2 linked regions of the Drosophila melanogaster genome follow. The protein of the gene in region 1 interacts with the protein of each later gene in a pairwise test. Each region holds a gene or a part of one and is shown on either strand. Other genes may lie near its edges.

Region 1 (8,016 bases):
AATTGTTGCTGTTGTCATTGGCGCATATTACGCAAACTGATTGTTTTTTGATCATCAAAGGAGTGCGTCAAGGGGCAAGGGGGAGGCTGATTAAGAAAAGAGGAAGAGCAACAGCAACAACAAACGAGTGCACTTGGTCAGGGTCAATGAAAATTCAAATGCAAAGGTCGCATTATCTCGGCGAACCAGTGAACTCGATAATGACGCACTTGCCACCGCACGAACTTGAATATTTTATGCTTATTGATTTCACGGCCAGTTGATGAAAGCGAGCGGGAGCAACAAAATCGAGAGCGGCATGCCAAATTATGGCCAAAATTACCTAAAGTTAAGTTACTAACACTGGAGCAGTGTGGCCGTAGGCGAGAGCACGGAAATTACCCGACTCTAACAGTAATAGGCACACGGATTAACCCACTGTTTCTAACATTTAAAAGTAGTACTTAGGATCCACATATAACCATATATGTTTTTACTATCTACTAAAAACATGCTTTATTTATATTTGATTAAATTTGTTTGCATATTAAAACGAACTGCTAATAACAGTATTTTATGCATTGTTATTAAATAATTCTTTGACATATTTTACATATGTCCCATATTTTTATGAATATATTTTATTTATTTTATTTGAAATAATTACAAATAATGTTTGAATTGCCTAATTACTATTTAATTAATATTAAACTAATATTGTTTTTGCATTATATATAATAAACTAATAATTCTTACACATAATATGTGTAATAATAACTGTACGTACCATATTTTAATGAACACCTAAATATAATACAAATTTTTTTTTAGCGGCGATGGTGAAACTGTGGAATTTTGAACATGGGGACGATTTTTATTTATTTATTTTTTAGTTATTTGGAGGTGAATTTTTGCCGACCGCCGACTGTCTCGTTGTCTGTCCCGATTTCCCTAATCAAATTTTTATGAAATCTTAAAACAATATATATATATATATATAGTAAGTTTTGGAAACTTATAGAAAGAACTTACGATATTAAAAGCGTATTGGCAAGCAATGGGTTAATTGAAAATCGTAATCTCTGCCACACGCATTGCTACGGAATAATTTTGCTACTCCGCTTTGGTCACACTGCTCGGCGACTAAAAATTGAATTGCATGAGAATTTAAAAAGTTTCGTTTAATAAGTAGAGGCATTAGTCAACCGATTCTGGAAATCACAACACGAGGTCAAGGGTCAATGCACAGTCAACCACAAAGGTTGAGCCAAGAAGCGTATATCCCAACAGCTGTTCTGCCGCTGGGTGAGATTACATGTTTACGTTTACGTGTCACTTCGAAAACTGAGATTTGTGAGCATTGTATTAATTTATAATTAATTAATTTCGTTAAATTCACCCGATCCGCAGCAATCCGGATGCCAAACTGGCACACTCGGGGAGCAGTATGCGCCGCAACAACTACCCGTACCAGCCCCTAAACCAGCACCCTTCAGGGCCCCATCCTGCGAGCCACGACGCCTTGGAGGCGGAAAACGAGCAGGCGGCGGAGGAGTTGAAGCAGAAGATCGGGGCCCTGAAGTCCCTCACCATCGATATAGGCAATGAGGTGCGCTACCAGGACAAGCTGCTGCGCGGCATCGACGACGACATGGACCGGACGAGTGGATTTCTGGGCAACGCGATGACGCGGGTGGTGCGACTGGCCAAACAGGGCGGTGGTGCTCGCCAAATGTGCTACATGTTCCTCTTCATCCTCGTCGTGTTCTTAATCCTCTGGATAACCCTAAAGTTTAAGTAGTTGTTGGTAATTTTATAAAATATATACCCACATATTTGTATGGTTTAGTGTAGTCGAAGGTTGTATTTGGTTCGGAATGCGGTTCACTTTTGGCTTAAAACCATAAAGTTAAATATATTTCTTAAGTTCAAACCAATATTAGAAAGACAGATACGTACGTTAAAGTTTTTTCAGCTCGTTCTTTATAGTTCTCGAGTAATAAGCAAAAGGAGATTCCAGATATAAATAAGGGAAGGTTCCAGTATCAAGTGATCAAATTACTTGCAAAAATTGCTGATTTTATTTAGCCCTAATCGCATAAAATGTCAATCCTTTTATCATTTATAAACTTCTTCAAAAGCAGCACTCATGTTACTCAATTGGTCCGTTATATTTTCCAATTTCCATAATAGAATTCATCAACAAGAAGCCCCTGTTTTTTTCTAAAAATATGTACTTACTAGTTTACTTTATTCTTTGCGCACAGAGTGACAATTTGTTGAAAGTAGAAAAGACGCACGCATACAAATTAAGGTCGATTGGGTGGGTTACATTTTGGGCTTACAGCTAATGATGATTATGATTATCGGACTTGTTACTGTTCTCATTTCCACATAATTTTAATTTTCACTTTAATTCGAATTTGGAACCGTTTCCTTCACAACTTTTCGAGGGCTATTGCTTTCGTATAACACAACTCAAAGTTGAACTAAATCCACGTAAGAATTCAGAATGTCGGTGAAAACGGAAGCCGGAACACGCCTGTAAGCAGCACTTTGGATTGGATCAGCGGCTATGCGTGGAAGGTCTTCATCTTTTTATTGCGTCTACTGAAGTCCTGGTCGAGGTCTTCGTCGTCGGCCTCCTCGCTGCCCACTTCCTCGTCGCTGAGAAATTCGCTGAACTGATCCCCATTTGAACTCTCCAGTGCTTGTACTGGAAAGTATATAAAGTATCTTAGCAGGAAGTTCATTAATAACCTGTAGTAGTTAGTTGCTCACTCTGCTTAGCTATTATGTTGTTTTGCCTCTTGATCTCTTCGATGTCTTTCTGGTTTTCACTGATCTTCCGCCTCATCGTCTGTATGCATTCGGTGGTCTTTTTCAGGATTTGAGCTCGACTCGCCTGTAACAAAAGATATGTATTATTAACTTATTACTACTTCTTATTAGCTTCATCACACAGGGTGTGGATTTTTTTAATATATTTTATGCGATTTGCTTAATTTGACAAGCAATAATGTAGTTTATTGTAAAACGAACTGGTATGGACTTATGGGATTTTCTTGGCAGAAAATGAGCCCGGCTGTGTCACCTGTTGCTCTTCTGGATTACCTTTTCGCCCTTGAGTGTGGGCACCGCCTCACGCAGGTTGGTGAAGCTCTCCTTGATGTGATCGCGCCGCCTTCGCTCCAAAGCGTTGTGGTGCGCCCGCTTTTCGGCCTTGAAACAAACATTAAAATTAGCATATAGGAAATTCCATCGTAAATACAGCAGAGTATGGAAATAATAACAAAAATGGAACAAAATGGTCTCAAAGCAATATGAACAGAAAGATAAGTTAGTAAATAGTAATATATAATATATTCAGTCCCTCTAAGATTATTTTCGATTACGAATCCTATTGCTGTGAACTCTGCTGTATCGTAATCACGATTCTGTAACAGCAACAACAACACGTGTGCGTTCTGTTTATCAACAAAAGGCAATGTGCGCAGTCGCTTTTTCCCACTCAGTTTATGCATGATGGATAGTCACCTGGGTGAAATTGGCGGTGTTTGTGTGTCGCGAGGATCCCAAGCCAGTGTCCGAGTCCCCGTCCTCCTAAAAAGTCGTTAATTTGGCATTAAAATCAATATTAAACACACGTATCAGTATTTTCCTCTACGCCTTGCTTACGTCACTTTCGATGTCTATGTCGCGGTCGTCGTCGCTCATACTCATGTTGCTTCACTTGTTTTGCACGGATTGCGCGCAAATTAATAGATATTTCCTAAGATTATTCCACTAAGTTGGTAAGTTTTTTGTTTTTTGTGATTATTCCAAATAAACATGTAATTTTGTTGTTGTCTGCTCACGTTGTAAGACTTGCAGAGTGACCAAATAGAGGAATGCTAATAATACTTCAAACTTAAGTGGCACCAAAAGGTCACCAATATTATTAATATTTGATTTGTATTAAATACAAATTATATATATATTAAGCACAAATTCAATATTCGCTTAACACTCTTGTTTGTTGCAGATTTTTTGTTTATTCGCACATTTGGTTCAGTTCGAATACCGCTACTATTTCCGCCACACTACAGTACTCGCCAGTGTGACCACACTGCTCGCAAAATGCCAAAGGCAGCGGCAGGAGCAGCAGTCTACAAGAAGTTTTTGATATAGTTCAGACTTTTACTAGTTTATTTGATGGCTTTTCCCACCACAAGTGCCCAGCAAGCCGAGACGAACCGCAAGATACTCGAAGAGATCCAGACGAAGAAGCAGTTGCTCGCGGGCGGGATCATAAACCTTGGTCTGAGTCCGCCGAACCAGGTGAGTTCGTTGGGAACATGCCGATCGGAAAATGTGTTTACCTGGTCTTCTATCGTAGATGCCCGCACCCCAGTTGCTGGGACAGCCGACGACAGTGAATCCAGACTTCCAGGCGGGCGTGGGCATTGCCACCAATGCCACATCCACCGCCCGCTCTGCATTTAATCCAACGAGCTCTACGACTTTGGGCTTCTTTATACCTCAGGATTCGTATTTTGGAAATAGCTTTATACCCGTGCTGCCTCGTCTGGAGCCGCTGCCGTCGCCTGCGACCACGCCCACTACTCCGAACGCTCCGCCCAGCCACAGTATCAGCAAATAGCCGGATCCACAATGGCCCGGTTGAAGCTGAGGAAACTGGAGGAGTACCTGCAGGGCGTTGACGGTTTCGAGCAGCCCAAGATCCTGTTGGAACAGTACCCCACTCCGCCGCACATAGCCGCGTGCATGGCTCATCACATGCAGTCGCAGCACGAGGACATCGAGGGAAAGCTGGTGGGAGATTTGGGCTGCGGCTGCGGAATGCTCAGCATTGCTTCCACTCTGCTGGGCGCCCAGCTCACGGTGGGCTTCGAACTGGACGGCGATGCCGTGGACACCTTTAGGGGCAATGTGGTGGAGATGGAGCTACCCAATGTTGACTGCGTGCGGGCGGATGTGCTGCAGCTGATCGGCAGCAAGTGGGAGAAGTCCTTTGACACGGTGCTGATGAATCCCCCATTCGGCACGAAACACAATGCCGGCATGGACATGCGGTTTCTGGAGGTGGCCCTACGGTTGGCCAACAGAGCAGTTTACTCCCTACACAAGACGTCAACACGGTAAGTCTGTATAAAATTGATTATAATCGATATTCGTAGAGGAAAACTTAAGTTTTCTTGCAAAGAATGTAACAGGTAGAGGGAAGCGATTTCCGCTTTACAAAGTATATTTTTAATTAGGATTACCAGCCGTGTATAACCAACGTTTTGAAAAAATCTTTTGATATAACTTATCTTATTTCCTTTACAATTTCTATCCATATCTAAACAAAATTTGGAATTCCTCTCTAGCAATCCCTCTAGATGAGCGGCGTATCTGATATTCGAAATCTTGGTTATACCATTCTCTCTTGTTTAATAGTGTAGATCTCTTGGTTAAACAGATACTCAAGTAGTATGCTTACTGGTCTATATATAGGTATATATTTTAAAATATATTGATACTCAATATTCGGCATATGAATGTACATATGCAGATTTATACTTTAAGAATATCTGCTGGTATAAACAGATGCGCAATCTTTTGTTATTGGCACAGTAAACAAGAGATACAATTGTACCCGCTTTTCGGTAAATGTGCTTCCTTACCGCTGTTTCTGCTTTTGTTGTTGTTTTGTTAAGAGCGCTGCTCACAACTATAAAACGCCGCAGAAACACCAACAAGTTACAGATAGCAACTAGAAGTCAGCAGCAAGATGATCCTCTCACGTAGCCTTCTAATCATCACTGTGGTGCTGGCGATTCTTCTGGCCCCCATGCCCACTGATGCGCAAATCCTGGGCAGCGGCCAATGCCGTCTCACCCCCATTCGAGTGTCCGCTGGCGGGACAGTGTGCGAGAGACTGTGCTTCCGAAGAGACTACCGCGGTCCGCCCAGCCTTTGCCGCCGCATTCCCAGAGATGCAGTGGTTCCTGTCTGCGGGGGTGGTTGCTGCCGCAGCGGTCCCAACTGCCTGCAGCTGCTTTACACATAAAGTATGTGGATAAGATGCAGCACGTTCCATCAATAGTTTAGATTTTAGTGAGAAATTATGGAAATTAAATATTTTAAAATATATATGCTACTCATATTAAAACGATGAGTTCTTTAATTAAAAGGGTATCTTATTATTCGACCCCTTCCTGTTTTTTATGGAAGAATAGCCAAGCCTAAACAACTGTGGAATAGTACATCAAAGCCAATTTAAATATCGATTTTAATTGTTCGCAGGTCGTACATTCAGAAAAAGGCACTGGAATGGGGCGCCCGCGGCTCAGTGGTCGCCGAACTCCGGTACAACATCGACGCCAGCTACAAGTTTCACAAGCAGAAGTCGAAGGATATTGAGGTGGACTTCTGGCGCTTTGAAATCGGCACGGAATAGGAAGAATTATATCAGTTGCATTTAGTTTTGGACATTATATGTAATAGTATTGTAAATTGTAGCACATTAAAATTGATCGTATGTGTTTTCTACTCCACATTGAAGACAACACCCTGGGCGCAGGCCAATTCTCCGGAGTGATTGACTGTAATGGTGGCCCGCTTGCAATACTGCTTCCAGGCATCGGATCCGGACTCGCGACCTCCTCCAGTGGCTTTTTCGCCTCCGAAAGCTCCACCAATCTCGGCGCCGTTGGTGGTGGTGTTGATGTTAACTATACCGCAATCGGAACCCTTGGCTCCAATCCACTTGAACGCCTGCCCGATGTTCTCCGTGAAAATGGCAGAGGATAAGCCCTGTTCCACCTCATTGTTCCATTCGATGGCCTGGTCCACGTTTTTGGCTTTGAGGATGTACACAATTGGTGCAAAGGTTTCGCGATGGACAACGCTGGCATCGTGCGGCAATCCAGTGATCACTGTGGGCTCTACGTAAAAACCATCCCGCTGGATGACATTACCTCCGAAGGCCACCGTTCCTCCTAAGGATTTCGCTTCCGCGATGGCCGCCTTGTAGTTCTCCACGTTTTGTTGCGTGTGCACGGGACCCACCAGAGTTTGAGCTTCGAGCTGGTGTCCAATCTTGGAAATTAGCTGCTTATATTTACCAACCAGCTCCTTTACGAACTGATCGTGCAGCTTTTCGTGGACAATAATCCTCCTGGTGGTGGTGCATCTTTGACCACTGGTGCCAATGCAGCCGAAAAGTGCGGCGTCCAGGGCCATCTTCACGTTGGCAGATTCATCGATGATTAGGGCATTATTGCCGCCTAGCTCGAGGATCACCTTGCCGAATCTGCGCTGCACTTCAACACCCACATCCCGACCAGTTTGGCAGCTGCCGGTGAAGGAAACGAGGTTAACTCTCTTATCAGCCACCAAGGTCTGACCAACATCGGTTCCTCCTTGGCAGAGGGTCACCACCGGCGGCAGATTGTTCCTACGCAGCACTTCAGCCACAATTTTTGTGGTCGCCACCGAGACCAAGGGAGTGCTGGGAGCTCCTTTCCACAGCACACTGTTGCCGGTGGTTAGGGCGATGGCAGCATTCCAGCCGAACACAGCATTGGGAAAATTGTAGGCCGAAATAACGCCCACCACTCCCAGCGGACGCCAGGCCTCCAGAATCGAATGATCCGCACGCTCCGAGTTGATCAGCTGGCCGGAGTAAATCCTTGAGAGGCCAACCGCATAGTCGCAGATATCTATGAACTCCTGAACCTCGCCCTGTCCCTCGCTGTAGATTTTGCCCACCTCCAGGGAGACGAGCTTTCCCAGTGGTTCCTTGTACTTTCTCAGCTCATCGCCGATTTGGCGCACTATTTCGCCGCGAACGGGAGCTGGAACCTGTCGCCACTGCTTGTAGGCTTCCACCGCCAGCCCGATGGTATGCTCGAGCTCCTGGACATTTCCCTGACGCACTTTGGCAATCGGTTGACCAGTTCCGGGATCGTAGCTGGTAACGGATGGCCCACGACCCTGCCACTGACCCGAATAAACACCTGGATTGTCGCGCTCCAGTCCCAATTCTTT
Region 2 (6,571 bases), on another chromosome or scaffold:
ACAACGTTGACATTGAAAATGTGACAAAAATAATTATTTATAATTTTCGGCAGTTTGCTGTTGGTTTTTGTTGATTAATATTTAACAAGCGTGTGGGAAAATTGTATACTTAGAATTTCCTTTGAAGAAAGCATGAAAGCAATTCTTCAGTTATGAGTTTCCATTTTTTACAGCTTTATTTTCAATTCTAGAAAATTCAATTATTTTCAAATTATATTAGTGATACATCGTAGTTGCATTTTAGTCATGCAACAGCATAAGGAAACCTGATAAAAAATATTGATTACACAATTGCAGCAAACCGCTTTGTGATTTTTTTTTTTTATAAATTGTACTTTCTTCCATAAGCTATTAAACTGAATTGAAAATCATTTAGTTCAACGCTTGTCTTCCATTCAAATACACACAATAAGTTTTTTTTTTTTTTACTAATTTATACAGACACCTGCACTTCGTTATTTGAAATTGTGTGATCATTACTCACTATTCAGCTTATCAGCATTTCGCTTTACCTAACTTTTGTTATAGTCAGCGGGCCATTCGGCTCTCCAATCTTAGCCCCACGAATACCACTTTTCTCTCTACGAACAAACAACAAGTGCCCTTTAGTCTGTGGCTGTCACTAGTGACTAATACCACCCCCCCCCCCCCGCTCCACCCTGTACAAAACCGCCCCATAAAATGAGACCCTGTTACAACGCCTCTGCTTGCAGCGCTGCCGGCGTCGCTGACGTCAGCGGCGTAATAAAGCAATAAATTGCAATGTTAACTGAAGGGATTAAGACGGAAACCATTAATGTAATATAAATGTATATACTAGGCTTTCATACTGTTTGAACTGTTTAAGGTGACTAATTAAATCAACTACCCAAACCTAGTTCAAAACTTATTTACTTACTGATCGGATCGACAAACCTACATCTATATCTTCTCTATACATACATACATATACATACATATGAACAAAGACAGTTATCGTAAGGGTGATAGCAACACAGACCTATGCGCGCCAAATTAAAATCGAATTAATTTTTGCAGCCGCCAAATAACTTTTAATGTTGAAATAATTGCAATTGTTAGCTTGAAAAAATTCGACTTTTTGCTTTAGTTGTTTGTGGTTTATTTATTTTTGTCGTTTTTTTTGTGTCTCAAGGTTTTTCGGTTTTCCAGTTCGTTATATAATGATCGTAACTGAACTCGTTTTGGTTCCTTAATGTATTTATTTAATTATTTTGTAAATAATCTTGCATTTGTATCTTAAGGTTATGTAATTAGCTACATACATACATACATAGATTAATATCCCATTCAGTATGGGTTGTGCATTTTCTATCTGATATCATCAGGTGGCGCCATCTGTCGGCATTCCGTTGTGTTATCTTTAATTGCAAGTTAGTTTGTATGATTAAATTGAATGTTCTTGTCTGTAATTTTCATATTTGGATTAATGTGAAAGACTCCATCTGTTAGGTAGCTTAAGCCCTTTTTTATTTTTGTACTTTCACCACCCACAAACCGCAATAAATTAGCAATGTTATGTATTTTGTTGCTATTGCTTGTTGCTTTTTCATTGTTTTTACACATTTATTGGGGTTAAGGCCTTCTTGACTGGCCATCACCTTTTGTTTTTATTTATTATTATATTGTTGTTGTGCTGCTTTTTGCATATTTTTGTACATACATACATACATATGCACTATTTTTATTTGTTGTGAATTTTTGTTTCGTTTGCTTGTTTGGTTTCTTATTTTGAAAACCAGCAAAATACTACGTAAAAACGATTTCACTTTTTGTTTAAATGGGGGCGTGAACATTGCCAAAAGTTAAAAAATATGAATATCTACATACTTACATATGTATGTATATGTGCATATACATATAGGGGCCTTTTGCATTAATAATAGCGGTAAATAGATAAATTATTTATGAGTGCTGATGATGCAAAACATAAATAGATAATCTGCATTTAATGTTGAACATAATATGTATACATACTTGCTATTAATACATAATTTCAGATACCAAAAATCAAAGGCGTCTTATTCGTTTAAGAATTCTTCCCATTAACAAGCGAATTCGCAAACTCTATTTGTTTTTTTGTTGAAAAGAAAATTTGCTCTTCTTTGTGATATTTGTTGTATATTTTTTCTTCCCCATTTCGCATTGCAGGCGTCTCAGTTTCGCTTTTTCCGTCTTATACTCGCAGAACTCTCAAGGTCATCAGCGCATGCGAATTTTATTTTTTTGCACTCTGTTGTTGTTCTTATTTTGTTTGTTTGAGAGTGTGCGAATATTTACTGGCAAAAAAAAAAGAAATAAATTGTGGGTTTGCTGGGTACGCGAAGGGATCCCGGTGGCTGGGCGATAAAGTTGAGCGACCCTCCTTAGCAACACGTGTGGCCAGCCCTCTCTTTCTAGTCAACTATTTACGTTTCTCTCTCTCTCTCTGCATGCTTGCACTTGTGTGAACAGCACTGCATTGCACAATTGCAATAAAAACTTAAAAACAGTTGTAGGATTTTTTGACAATTATTTCTGGCTTTATAAGTTAGCTAGGAGTGCTTGGATGCAGTGGAGGATAGATACATATATACATTCATATATAGTTGCACATAGCCAGTGCAGCCTGTAACTGCAAGGTTTTCTCCACTCTATCTTCCTCCTCTCGTTCATCATTTTGCACTTTGTTTTGCCAACGTGAGCCAAGTCGCGTTGACAAAACCCAAGAAAAAAGTCGAAACACAAACAAGCAAACGCAATTGTATTTATCATTTCAGTTTTGTTTTTTATTGCATACAACTGAAGCCTCCCCCAATCAAAAGCAAGTCAATGCGAATAAATATACTTATAGATTAAGGCGTTTAACAAAATAAATAACTTCTAGATCCATTTGCAGATGTTTTTATTCGATCTTTTAAGCCCAAACATTTCAAACAATTCGGGATCACATGATATAATTCGACTTTCGCACATAAATATGTGTACAGTGATCACTCGTAAAAAGAACTCATTGATGTTATTCTATACATACATATATTATTATATTTTATGCTTATTCCATACTTTATTCTTCATACAATACAATCTGCCTACCATATAATTTATGGTAACATTGCTTTAATTATGTGTGAAGTGCATCAGAATTCGGATACAAAAATGAATTATTTCTTTAAAATCTGTATATTAATTAATAAAGAACAGAAATTTCCACAAATATGTAAATTGAATTTTCAAATTGGTTTGGTTCCCTCGTTTTGTTTAATTTCTGAAACTGACTCATGGAAGTGCAGTCTTCTGCTTCTTTCAGCTGTTGATTAGTATAAGTTCATGCTTTTGAGGTGACCTTGAAAAGTTTACTAACATCGCGTTTTCGTCGCTCGCTTTTTCCAAGCGATTATTCGGCTCTATGCATTTTTGTTGTTGCTTGTTTTTTTTGCCAACCCCCGAAACGCCACCCCCGATTATTCCTAGTATTTTCGCTGACGCAAATGAGAAAAGAGAAAGCTCTACATGTACAGTGCAGACTCCCATTGCGTTAAAGTTCATCAACGAAATCTAAATGCTCGGGATTTACACCTTTTTCTGAAAATTTATTTAGTAAAATAAATTTCACTTAATATCTGGTCTCTTTCTCTCTCTATCTCTTTATGTGAAAATCGATCGTTTAACTTATTGAGAGTTGACAGTACTTTTTTCGAGTATTTCTAGGTTATGGTCAAGGCGAAATCTAAGCAAATTTGAAGGCTACGCTCAGGTACGAAGAGCGATGAAGAGAAACGCCTCTTCTTTGTAGAATTCTACTGATAATTCGATTTTTGTTTTTGTGTTTTTTTTTTTTGCTTCTCCTTGCAAAGCTTTTTCGTTTGTTTACGCAAAAAGGAGAGAAAGAGATGGTGCAAACAAATTTCGCGGAGAGATAAAGGTGTGTTGAACTTTAGCAAAAGTACATTTCATAAATTATATTTATTTTGGTTTTTAGCTAGCTGTGAATTTGCTTTTGCGTTTTCCTCAGATGCAAGTGTGTGTGCAAATTATGTATGACCTTTTTTGTATTGTTTTTGCGACGCTTTCAAAACAAACAACTGCGCTCTCTCTCTCTCCCTCTCTCGCTCTCTTGTGTCCATTCTCAGAGTCTTTGCACGTGTATGCAGCGGTTTCTCTTCCTCTTTTCAACACGTAAGCTTGAGCAAAATACCACAATCACATAAATATATACATAGGTGCGAGTGACAGTGCCACATTAAGGGTTAAAAACTGAAAAAATTTGATTTGACCACTGACGTCAACGAAATAACATTTTCTTGCCAAACGTGATTATAAAAACATAAAACAGCAATTACTTTCCGCCGCTTCTTACCTTTTTGAGTATTAAATACATTTATAAAAGTTTCGCAGACGCCTTTAACTTGATTTTCCTTGGTAATATGCACTATTATTTTTACCGCACGAAGGACAGGAAAAAATCCTTTCACTTAACGTAAAACTTGGCGCTCGTTATGATAGTTTTACACTTTAAAAAAAAATTAGAGAAAATAGTTGACAAATTGCTGGAAGATTTGTTTTTTTTTTCTTTTTGTTTGTTGTTGTTCCTTCGGCGGTTATATTTGCAATTCGCATTGCAACGGACACAGTGTTGGTATTTCTCGTGCTGGTATTTAAATACTAGCGACAATGAGAGGTAAAATACCACATGTAATGGTCACACTTTCGCCCGCCGAATTCAAGGCAATGCAATTTTGAATTTGTTATTGATTCATTCTCAAACGAATACCAACATATATTTGAATATATTTCGATATATAAACGCTTCAATTCACTACGCTTCAATCGAAGTGTGTGGTATTTATAAAGTGCGATATTCATCACAGCTATCGCTCATCCCCAAAACACCGGTATGCAAGAATTCAGGTCACACTTGATTTTTCCGATATTCCAAAAGGTTTACCAATCTACGGCAAATCGCCGCAGAGCAAGTGCATCCGTGCTGACCAATCGACTCGGCAAGGCTTTGTGCTTAAACTGCGCCAGGATGTCGAAGTCGCCGGATGGCGGGATTTCCGAAATAGAAACGGAGGAGGAGCCGGAAAATCTGGCGAACTCCCTAGATGATTCGTGGCGTGGAGTTTCCATGGAGGCTATACATCGTAATCGGCAGCCTTTCGAATTGGAGAATTTGCCACCAGTGACTGCCGGCAATCTCCACCGGGTTATGTACCAGCTGCCAATTCGTGAAACACCGCCACGCCCCTACAAATCACCGGGAAAGTGGGACTCCGAGCATGTGCGTCTGCCCTGTGCGCCCGAGTCGAAATATCCGAGGGAGAATCCGGATGGCAGCACCACCATCGATTTTCGCTGGGAAATGATCGAACGAGCCCTTCTGCAGCCCATAAAGACGTGTGAGGAACTGCAGGCGGCGATAATATCATATAATACCACCTATAGGGATCAGTGGCACTTTCGTGCCCTTCATCAACTTCTCGACGAGGAACTGGACGAGAGCGAAACACGGGTTTTCTTCGAGGATCTATTGCCGCGCATTATCCGATTGGCATTGCGGCTACCGGACTTGATTCAATCGCCAGTTCCGCTGCTCAAGCACCACAAGAACGCCTCATTGAGCCTGAGCCAACAGCAGATCTCCTGCCTGTTGGCCAATGCCTTCCTGTGCACCTTTCCCCGGAGAAACACCCTCAAGAGGAAGTCCGAGTACAGCACTTTTCCAGACATCAACTTTAACAGGTGAGCGTCCACCAGATTCGTATATCTTCAGTCGAAGTATGTTAAATATATTCGATTCCATCAAAAGGCTTTACCAATCGACGGGACCGGCAGTTCTGGAGAAGCTTAAATGCATTATGCACTATTTTCGTCGCGTGTGTCCCACAGAGCGGGATGCCAGCAATGTGCCCACCGGTGTGGTAACCTTTGTTCGTCGGAGCGGATTGCCGGAACATCTGATCGACTGGAGCCAAAGTGCGGCGCCGTTGGGTGATGTGCCATTGCACGTGGATGCCGAGGGAACAATCGAGGATGAGGGCATTGGACTGCTGCAAGTAGACTTTGCCAACAAATATTTGGGTGGCGGTGTCTTGGGACATGGCTGCGTTCAGGAGGAGATACGCTTTGTTATCTGTCCGGAGCTATTGGTGGGTAAACTCTTTACGGAGTGTCTGCGACCATTCGAGGCCCTGGTGATGTTGGGCGCCGAAAGGTATAGTAACTATACGGGATATGCCGGAAGCTTCGAGTGGTCCGGCAACTTTGAGGATTCAACGCCAAGAGATAGCTCAGGTCGTCGACAAACGGCCATTGTGGCAATCGATGCCCTACATTTTGCCCAGTCACATCATCAATATCGCGAGGATCTCATGGAAAGGGAGCTGAACAAGGCGTACATTGGATTTGTTCACTGGATGGTGACGCCGCCACCGGGTGTGGCAACTGGTAACTGGGGTTGCGGCGCATTCGGCGGTGACTCCTATCTGAAAGCCCTGCTGCAACTTATGGTCTGCGCCCAGTTGGGCAGACCTTTGGCCTACTATACCTTTGGAAATGTGGAGTTTAGGGA

The links.
Region 2: the proteins of Max (region 1) and Mnt interact in a two-hybrid assay, tested with the Drosophila melanogaster proteins (2 studies listed by BioGRID).

The regions. Positions count from the first base shown.
Region 1 is NT_037436.4:19,260,324-19,268,339, forward strand, and holds Max (Max), read right to left. Parts: upstream 3,862-8,016; 5' UTR 3,703-3,861; coding exon 3,658-3,702; exon of another isoform or gene 3,583-3,657; coding exon 3,517-3,582; exon of another isoform or gene 3,443-3,516; intron 3,202-3,442; coding exon 3,094-3,201; intron 2,885-3,093; coding exon 2,761-2,884; intron 2,696-2,760; coding exon 2,553-2,695; 3' UTR 1,909-2,552; downstream 1-1,908. Other genes in the region: Bet1 (blocked early in transport 1), read left to right, coding at 1,427-1,780; CG42374 (uncharacterized protein), read left to right, coding at 4,174-4,299, 4,358-4,621; Mettl5 (methyltransferase like 5), read left to right, coding at 4,633-5,120, 6,271-6,424; CG45081 (uncharacterized protein), read left to right, coding at 5,756-6,034; Aldh7A1 (aldehyde dehydrogenase 7 family member A1), read right to left, coding at 6,514-8,016. UniProt on the Drosophila melanogaster protein: Transcription regulator. Forms a sequence-specific DNA-binding protein complex with MYC or MAD which recognizes the core sequence 5'-CAC[GA]TG-3'. The MYC-MAX complex is a transcriptional activator, whereas the MAD-MAX complex is a repressor.
Region 2 is NC_004354.4:3,669,826-3,676,396, reverse strand, and holds the start of Mnt (Mnt), read right to left. Parts: upstream 4,597-6,571; 5' UTR 4,358-4,596; intron 1-4,357. Other genes in the region: Parg (Poly(ADP-ribose) glycohydrolase), read left to right, coding at 5,030-5,742, 5,810-6,571.